Xenopus tropicalis: one gene and its partner. The protein of the gene in region 2 binds, or shares a complex with, the protein of the main gene of each other region. Links are inferred from orthologs where the notes say so. Each region holds a gene or a part of one and is shown on either strand. Other genes may lie near its edges.

The links. The genes of interacting proteins can lie anywhere in the genome.
Region 1: bnip1 (region 2) and bet1l share a complex: the UniProt entries of both Homo sapiens proteins name them as parts of the SNARE complex. The link is inferred for Xenopus tropicalis from reciprocal best matches to the Homo sapiens genes BNIP1 and BET1L.

The regions. Positions count from the first base shown.
Region 1 is NC_030680.2:24,001,449-24,006,434, reverse strand, and holds the start of bet1l (BET1-like protein), read right to left. Parts: upstream 3,187-4,986; 5' UTR 3,094-3,186; coding exon 3,075-3,093; intron 2,838-3,074; exon of another isoform or gene 2,776-2,837; intron 831-2,775; coding exon 739-830; intron 303-738; coding exon 246-302; intron 1-245. UniProt on the Homo sapiens protein: Vesicle SNARE required for targeting and fusion of retrograde transport vesicles with the Golgi complex. Required for the integrity of the Golgi complex.
Region 2 is NC_030679.2:43,444,153-43,449,081, reverse strand, and holds the start of bnip1 (vesicle transport protein SEC20), read left to right. Parts: upstream 1-1,951; 5' UTR 1,952-1,981; coding exon 1,982-2,065; intron 2,066-2,144; exon of another isoform or gene 2,145-2,381; coding exon of another isoform or gene 2,382-2,411; intron 2,412-3,328; coding exon 3,329-3,421; intron 3,422-4,826; coding exon 4,827-4,918; intron 4,919-4,929. UniProt on the Homo sapiens protein: As part of a SNARE complex may be involved in endoplasmic reticulum membranes fusion and be required for the maintenance of endoplasmic reticulum organization. Also plays a role in apoptosis.

The DNA of each region.
Region 1 (4,986 bases), on a different chromosome or scaffold from region 2:
AATGATTTCCTTTGTCTCTGTAATTGATGCTAATTAAACTATCCTTGTGTTTATATTATGTTTATTTTCTGTAGTAGCCTTAAGGTGTTCTAAATTATGGAAAACAAAATGTCACTAACATTCTGGATAACAGATCCTAAACCTTTACTATAATTATTATAAATATATATATATATATATACACACACAACAGATAATGAACAGACTGTTTTGTACAGGGATTCGAAGTATCTATAGAGTCTTACCATGCCATCCAGGTACTTGTTATGGTCATCAGCCTCTTTGTCAATGTCCAGTGCAAGCTGTAAAAAAAAAAAAAAAAGGAACAGATTGTGATATCCGAGTGATTATGCAGGAACAGAGCCCAGGCAAAAGAGGCAGAAGTGCCCTGTACTTTATGCATACAGTAGGAATTGTTAGAGAGGCAGAAGTGCCCTGTACTTTATGCATACAGTAGGAATTGTTAGAGAGGCAGAAGTGCCCTGTACTTTATGCATATAGTAGGAATTGTTAGAGAGGCAGAAGTGCCCTGTACTTTATGCATACAGTAGGAATTGTTAGAGAGGCAGAAGTGCCCTGTACTTTATGCATACAGTAGGAATTGTTAGAGAGGCAGAAGTGCCCTGTACTTTATGCATATAGTAGGAATTGTTAGAGAGGCAAAAGAGAAAGGCGCTGTGAATAGAGGCCTACACATCAGTTATTTATTCCTGTAGAATATCTACCACTCCTACTTACTGATTTCAGCCTGGTCACCTTCGAAGAAAGATTTTCTGACAGCCGTTTGTTCTCTGCATCCAACATCTCATCCACTGCTCCTGAATTTGGCCCTGTAAAAAAAACAAAGAGCAACTGAATGGCAGGTTTTTCTTTTTTGGAAGGGGAAGGGACAGTGGTGCCGGCCCAACAACGCGGGGAAGGGACAGTGGTGCCGGCCCAACAACGCGGGGAAGGGACAGTGGTGCCGGCCCAACAACGCGGGGAAGGGACAGTGGTGCCGGCCCAACAACGCGGGGAAGGGACAGTGGTGCCGGCCCAACAACGCGGGGAAGGGACAGTGGTGCCGGCCCAACAACGCGGGGAAGGGACAGTGGTGCCGGCCCAACAACGCGGGGAAGGGACAGTGGTGCCGGCCCAACAACGCGGGGAAGGGACAGTGGTGCCGGCCCAACAACGCGGGGAAGGGACAGTGGTGCCGGCCCTGAATCACGAGAGTGGAAACTAGAATGAGACTGTCAGGATGTAAGAAGGGATTTCCAGGATGCCCGACTGCTGTCTCACCTAATGCACAAACACATCCCCAGACTAAAGTCCTCATGTGTGACGTGCATTTAACATAATCAATAAAGCCAATTTCAATATATATCAATATATATCTGGCCATGGCAAGGCAGATCCTAGTGCGATATGGCCATAGTCACATATGGGCAGAGTTTCTCTGGGCCTTTTTGCAATATACATTCATTTCAGAAACCCCAGGGTTAAAAGAAACTACAAATGCATAGACAGTCAGGGCCACAGTCTTTTCGGGCATTCAAAGAGAGCTGATGAGCCGAGGTCTTCCTGGCAGCACGTATCTGCTACTGACTCACAAACCATTAAAACTAGAAAATCAATGCACACTGCAAAAGTGCTCAGAGACTGCTAAGTTTATAGCAATTCCCCTTCAAGGAGCCGACTATAACGCACTAAGAAAGTAACCTGGAGCCCTATGAAACCCTCCCCCACCCCTATTATGTCTGAAATTATTACAACAGCCCCTCAGATATCAACAAGAGAAGAGAGAGGCACCCAAATGTGTGCTTATTATAATATTATTATTATAAGTACAGGAAATCATTGCTTATGGTGCCGTACCCACGCACAACACTAATACACTTCCCCAGCCCAGTAACGAGCAGAGAGATCTCCAACTCCCCTCACACTGGGGACTGCTGGTACAGACTGCAACACTATACAGACTGGTACAGACTGCAACACTATACAGACTGGTACAGACTGCAACACTATACAGACTGGTACAGACTGCAACACTATACAGACTGGTACAGACTGCAACACTATACAGACTGCAACACTATACAGACTGGTACAGACTGCAACACTATACAGACTGGTACAGACTGCAACACTATACAGACTGGTACAGACTGCAACACTATACAGACTGGTACAGACTGCAACACTATACAGACTGGTACAGCAACTGGCAACACCTATACAGACTGGTACAGACTGCAACACTATACAGAACTGGTACAGACTGCAACACTATACAGACTGGTACAGACTGCAACACTATACAGACTGGTACAGACTGCAACACTATACAGACTGGTACTGGTAAGACTGCAACACTATACAGACTGGTACAGACTGCAACACTATACAGACTGGTACAGACTGCAACACTATACAGACTGGTACAGACTGCAACACTATACAGACTGGTACAGACTGCAACACTATACAGACTGGTACAGACTGCAACACTATACAGACTGGTACGACTGCAACACTATACAGACTGGTACAGACTGCAACACTATACAGACTGGTACAGACTGCAACACTATACAGACTGGTACAGACTGCAACACTATACAGACTGGTACAGACTGCAACACTATACAGACTGGTACAGACTGCAACACTATACTAGAGACCCCCACGACTCTCTAATGACTCCTAGAACAGTCTCAGTCTACACAGAGTAGAACCCCCGCACCCTGAACACTGTGTAGTACAGAGTATACAGCACATTCCCATACTGACCTTCCCTAACAGAGAAATCACCCACCAAAGGCCTTCAGAGTACTTCCCCATACAGCCCCCATGGAGACCACCCCTAGCATAGAGCCCCACCCAGGACAGAGTACCGCCCCCAAACATTAATTCCAGCATAGATTCCCTCTCAGTTCCTTTGCTTTACGCTTAATATCCCAGAGCGAATCCCACGCAAACACCTTCTCTGTTTGCCAGGCCGCTGCCCCCACTCTCTCGGCATTCAGGGAGCACTGATATCCTACATAACACACGTATTTATCTCACACAAGCACCCTAGACCCCAGTACCTCTGCCCCAGTCCGCCATCTTGGATTCTTCTAAATGTGACGCGGCAGGATATTACACGTCACTAACGTCACCCTCACAGCCACCAATACGCTTCAACCTTGCGTCAGTGCGTCAAGAAAGGACGGACTGTCTCATTAAGCCACGCCTATTAATGTTTAGGCGTTCGCTGTTGCCATGGAAGCAGTTTATCCGAATTATCCTAATATAAAAAAAATAAAGTGAAACGTGCACTCCTTTTGCTTCTCCTACTTTGTGTGTTGTGGCTAGCTCCGCCCCACATGGCGAATCTCTTGGGGGATCTTGGGATTTGTGGTCCAACAAAAACAGTGGAAGCAGATTACACATTACAGCTCAATACTCCCCCCACATATTCTCCAATTTGGAGCCTCTCTCAATGTAGTTTGTGACAAAAAAGGCTTCCAGTGCTTTAAGGAATGGCGACACCAAAAAATGAAAATTATTTCAAGTAATTAAAATATAATGTACTGTTTCCCTGCACTAGTAAAAGTTCTTTTACTTCATAAACCCTACTCTAGTTTATATATACAAAGCTGCTGTGTAGCCCTGGGGTTATGGTTGCCACCTGTCTGGTAAAAATGATGCTTAGTGCCAATGTTATTATTAGAAAAAAAAGATAAAAATATAGGAAGGCCGGTATTTATTTTCAGAAAAGGTGGCAAAAAAAAAAGAGGACAAAAGACAAAAAACTGATAAGCTCTCTAGAATACAATGGGAAACTACACTGCTTATCTATTATCAGCTGTGTAACCTGTGTCAATTAGGGCTCTTGCACACGGGGAGATCAGTCGCCCGCGACAAAACTCCCTGTTCGCGGGCGACTAATCTCCCCGAGTTGCCATGAGCGAACATGTGAACATGTAAGTCGCCGGCGGGATGGCACACGCGGCGGCGCGATTTCACGAAATCGCCGAAAAAGACTCGCGAGGTGACTAATCTCCCCGTGTGCCAGAGCCCTTAGCCTTATTTCAGTTTGATACAGCTTTGTTTATATAAAATATAGTTGAGATTCTAATGCAAACACAACTTACCAGTGCAGGGCAATGGTACAAAATATAGTGACTACTGTGATACATACATTTTTTTGGTGTTACTGTTCTTTAAAGTATGTCTTAGTGCTGGTGTTGGAAATCAGGGCGATTAGTCACCGTGACTAATGTGACTACTGTGGCTATAACAATGCTGACTTGTCCCATACAGCAAATTCCACAGGCGGCGACCTGTATGTTCATGTATGGAAATATCCATTATGTCGATTAGTTTCGGTGATTGTGTTTTTAATTGTCCTGTCTGTCTTTTACCTTAGATACCAACATGCAGTCTAATCTCATACCATGTACCGCCTGAAGATGGCCATACACGGGCCGATACTAGCTGCCGATATCGGTCCCTTAGACCGTTTCAGCAGCTCATCGGCCCATGTTGGGGCAATAACGACGGGCCTGCCTGACCGATACCTGGCCTGAAATCGGGCAGATATCGATCGGGCAGTTTAAAAAATTTAGTCGGATCGGGGACCGCATAAGGGCTAAGATTGGCTATTAGGTAGCCTCTATGCACACTATCAGCTTACAGGGGGCTTTATTTGGTACTAAATATTGTTTTAATTCAATCAAAACTTGCCACCAAGTCAGGAATTCAAAAATAACTACCTGGTTTGGGGGCACTGAGAGCAACATCCAAGGGGTTGGGGAGCAACATGTTGCCCCCGAGCCACTGGTTGGGGATCACTGTATGAGGTGGGGGATTCTGAAAATGTACCAAAATACTTTGTTTGAGCCACAATTTGTGTGCATTTATTAGAAGGAATATTGACTACATGATACAACAGGAAGAGACTTTCAGAGGATTCTGGATATTGTAGTTCTGCACTTTAAAACTAATAAAGCTAGG
Region 2 (4,929 bases):
TTGGACACGCCCCTGCCTTAAAGACTCTACCTCTACGTATTCCTTTACAGAATTATTTGCTAACACTGACCCTGGATGGGTAGCTTTCTTTCACCTGCTGCAGCACCACCTTCGCAGTGCTCCTAGGTAAGTGATGCCCTGGATTGGCACAGGTACAATAAACAGTCCAACAGAGACAAAACAGCACAGGCATTTGCCCCCTCCCACACTTAATAGACTCTGGAATGTGATGCCAAGCCAAGGGCAGCAAGTCACTAAAAAGTCATAATCATAAAATGCACTATGTTTGCCCAGGATCAGTAACTCATAGCAACCAATCAGCAGGTAGATGCACTGGTCAGCTGTTTAAAAGCAAACATCTTATTGGTTGCTATAGGTTACTGCTACAGGAAAAAAGTTGTGCCTTTTAATACATATGTGGGTATGAACACTGTTATAGGAATAGTTCAGTGTAAAAATTAAACTGGGAAAAATAGACTGTGCAAAATATAAAATATTTCCAATATAATTAGGCAAAAATGTAATCTATAAAGGCTGGAGTAAGCATATGTCTAACATAATAGCCAGAACCTGACTTCCTGCTTTCAGCTGTCTAACCTCTTAGTTAGTCAGTGACTTTAGGGGGGCCCACATAGGACATAACTGTTCAGTTAGTTTGTGAGCAGGCAGGTCAGATTCAAATGCAAATTAACTGAACAGTTATGTCCTATATGGCCCACTCAGGTCACTGATTGGTTATTGATTGCTAACAGCTTAGAGCTGTTCTGGCTATTATGTTAGACATCTGCCCACTCCATTTTCATTTTTACACTGAACTGTTCCTTTAAGATAGTCACAAGGAAAATTATAGACTAACCAGGCAATTATTTTAAACAAAGGAGCACCGGGGGAAGAGGAAAAGGTAAAGTACTGCATGGCAGGGCAGAAGCGATAAGAGGTGGGTTGGGAACCATACAAAATAACCCCAACATTATTTAATTTACTTGTGCCAAGAATAACTTTCTTCAGTTTTAGAATAATACAGCAGTGAATCATCAAGCAGCATTTACTTTTCTGGTCTTTAAAATTAATTATCTGATTGGTTACTAGGGGTATTTTTGTAATGAAAAAATGCAGAAAGTTGGCCAGTCATGTTTGTGCCCAGATGTGCAGCTTTCAGCCCCAGAAACATCCCTCTCAAAAGGGAGTAAAATAGATGATAGGTTCGGGACAGGTAATATTCTGAGCCCCAGATGTTGCAGAAAAACAACCACCAAAATTCTGTCCTCCCTTATCTGAACCACTGGTGGGAGCTGAGGGTTGTAACTATAGATCACTGAAGTACCATGGGCTCATGCAAAGCCTCCTATAGTTCTCCTTTCCACAGCCACATACTGCTGCCCTTACTGTACTGTACCCTTTCCACTCATACCCCGAAATATCTATTATTTTTATTATTAACAAGCATTTATAAAGCTCCAACATATTCTGTGTTTATGTACAGCAAAAAAGGGTCTCTAATGTCATTCAGCAGGAAACCCCATAGTCCAGTCTAAGCCTGTTTACATTTGAAGTTGACTGTTCACTTGCTTTAAGGGTGAAGACACACAGAGCTACTTAGTAGCAGCTAATTGTCACAGCTACTAAACGCCAGAAAATACCCTGACATAGACAATACTGAGAATTACCTCTGCCACATAGAGACAATTAACAGTAAATGATCAGCATTGTCTATTTCTGTAGCCGTGACAAGTAGCTGCTACTAGTAGCTCAGTGTGTCTTCACCCTAACACCCCTTTGAACTGAGCAGAACGTTTCTTATTGTGTGCGTTTTCCCAAAAGCACCTCTAGATGTCTCTGTGCCCCCTCATCGCTGTCCATACGAGCAAAGAAATTACCTCTCCATACAGCAGATGGCGCAAAGGTTTATTTTTGTCTTAGTCAGAGTCATCGGTGCATGGTATTTTGTCCCATTCCGCGCACCGTTGTTAAGCCTGTCGCGATGGCAGATTCGCAGGATGTCCACGTCCGAATTTGTCACCAGGAAATCGTTAAATATGACCTGGAGATCAAAGCGCTGATCCAGGTAACGCAGTGGGGTGCTGAAGGGGTGATCGCCATTAATAATACTGACTTTCTACATGCAGGAGGCAGTAGGGAATTCAGCTTACCATTAAGGGTCCGAGTTTGTAATATTCCCTATGCAACGCCACCTAGCGGCAGGCCGAGCTTACGTACCAGTTCCGAAGACTCCAAACTCAATGGTTTATGTTTGAATGCGGACTGGTGTAGCGTTACCGGCATGTACTGATAGTTCCCTACGGTCACAGCCTACTGTATGGTTTGGTTAACAGAGCCTGGCAGTTTTATTTTCCTAAATTATTACATGGGCTTCCTGCTACATGTTCCATGTACTGCACCCTAACAGTTATGTAGGTATAATACATTTAACTGGCTGATAACTGAAATAGCTATAATGCTTTCCCAGCTAATGAGCAGTGCTGCTATCAGTACTCATAGGCTCTATACTACTGAGTTAGCAGGGGGCCTCAAGTTTAACCCTCAAGTTTAACCCTTCTGTCATCTGGGCCATTATGAACCAGAATTAACACTGACATTAGTTGTTACCAGTGGCATAAAATAAGGTCAGGCTTCCAAGCAAAAGACTTTTCCGGGCCCTCACATGTTGGGGTGAGAGCCACTTACACCCTCGGCCACATAGTGACCACCACCTTCGCCTCCATGCTTGCAGAGCCAGAAGTAGCTGTAACCATACAGCAGGCCATCTGGATATCTGTATGCTAGTTAGCCAGTGAATGTTAGTATATCTTAACCAAAATGTCAAAATATCAGCACCCAGTAATCAAGTCTTTGTCACCAGTAATATCTTTGTATAGAATAACTTCCTAAAGCTGATACCTCAAGAGAACTGAATCCAAGTGATTTTGGTCACACTTATGGCACACCAAGCCTGGGATTCAAAATAGGCCCTGGCACTTCAAGTACACAATGTCCCAAACAGTGTCTGTCTATGGCTTCTTACAGCAGCCCCTCTGGCATTTGCCAGAATCCACAGATTGCCAATCTGGGCTTTTTGCACACCCAACCACAATTTATTATGCCTTGACTACACCCACTTACAACCCAACTTTATCCTTGGCTGGAGGCTGGTGGTTACTACCAGCATATTAACTGTCATTTTTTAATGACGTTTGCTAGGCATCTCATGTGCCACTATGTCATTTCAGTTTGGGAACAGCACAGCAGATGGTACTTTCTCATTGGATCCTTATCCCCCTAGCTCTTCTGTATTGTATGTAGACGTTTTAAAATGATTTGTCTTTTATAGGACATCAGAGAATGCCCTGGTCCTCTAAGCACCCTAAATGATTTCAATGCTCAAGTCAAGGAAAAATTCCACCTGCTGAGGCTGAGAATACAGGTACATTGTGTAATTTAGTAAAGACATTGCATTTTTGAGGGAAAAACTGGCTAGGTAATTAGAAATTCTTAACCACAAGAGAGGTTGATAATAAGTAATTGGGGCCTCTGCCCTATGATTAAACTATATTTTAAAACATTAAAAGTCCATTTACTGCCTATAACAGGGATCCCCAACCTTTTTTACCCGTGAGACACACTCAAATGTAAAAAGAATTGGCAACACAAGCATGAAAAATGTTCCTGGGGTGCCAAATAATGGCTATAATAGGCTATTTGGTAGCCCCTATGTGGACTGGCAGCCTACAGAGGCTTTGTTTGGCATTATATTGGGTTTTTATGCAACCCAAACTTGCTACCAAGCCAGGAATTTAAAAATAAGCCCTTGCTTTGAGGCCACTGGGAGCAACATCCAATTGTTTGGGGAGCAACATGTTGCTCATGAACCACTGTTTGGGAATCACTGGCCCATAATATTGGGAGCCCTCAAAGCAAAGCATATTATTCGCTCAGAGTTTTTTTCTAAGCACTTTTGCAAAGTACATTTTTTCTACTTTCTCAGTTATTAGAAGTTATTTGAAGTGCTGATTATTTTAGGCCAATGGGCTAAAAGTGGCTAAAAATGAATTTCCTGAGAAAAGAAACATTTTAAGGTGTTGCTCTCCCTAGAACTGATCACAGAAACACCAGAGACTCCACTTTCTAAGCAGAGCATCATTACAAAATGTTTCTTATCTCAGGCAATTCATTTTTAGCCAACAGTAGCCAGTCACAGTAGCCAGCCAGCTGAAATATCCAGCAGGTGGCGCTGTTGTTTCAAATATGTTATATTAGCCCAGTGATCCCCAACCAGTGGCTCGGGGGCAACATGTTGCTCCCCAACCCCTTGGATGTTGCTCTCAGTGCCCCCAAACCAGGTAGTTATTTTTGAATTCCTGACTTGGGGGCAAGTTTTGGTTGAATAAAAACAAGATTTCCTACCAAATAAAGCCCCTGTAAGCTGATAGACTGCATAGAGGCTCCCTAATAGCCAATCACAGCCCTTATTTGGCACCTCCGTTAACTTTTATGGTGCTTGTGTTGCTCTCCAAGTCTTTTTACATTCGACTGTGGCTCATGAGTAAGATAGGTTGGGGATCCCTGTATTAGCCATTTCAAAACAGCTAATCTCTTTAAAACTAAAATAAAAATAATTAAAAGTAGTTCTAAGAGTACTTTGCACAATTTTATAGTCATTTGTCTTGATGGATTACAGTACTTGTTTACTTGCTTGGATTTACAAAAAAAAAAAAACATTTTTGCATGAATCATTGCTCATCACCAAAAGTGATCACCTTTAAAGTCATCCAGGTAATAGTTTTCTAAACCTATAATTGGTGATATACTTCTTTGTTATTTTGGAAAAGGATTTTGAACAGTTGGCTAAGGAGCAGGATAAGGAATCTGACAAGCAAGCATTGCTGAAGGAGATGGAGTGCCACAAGAAACAGATGTTAAGGTGTGTATGGT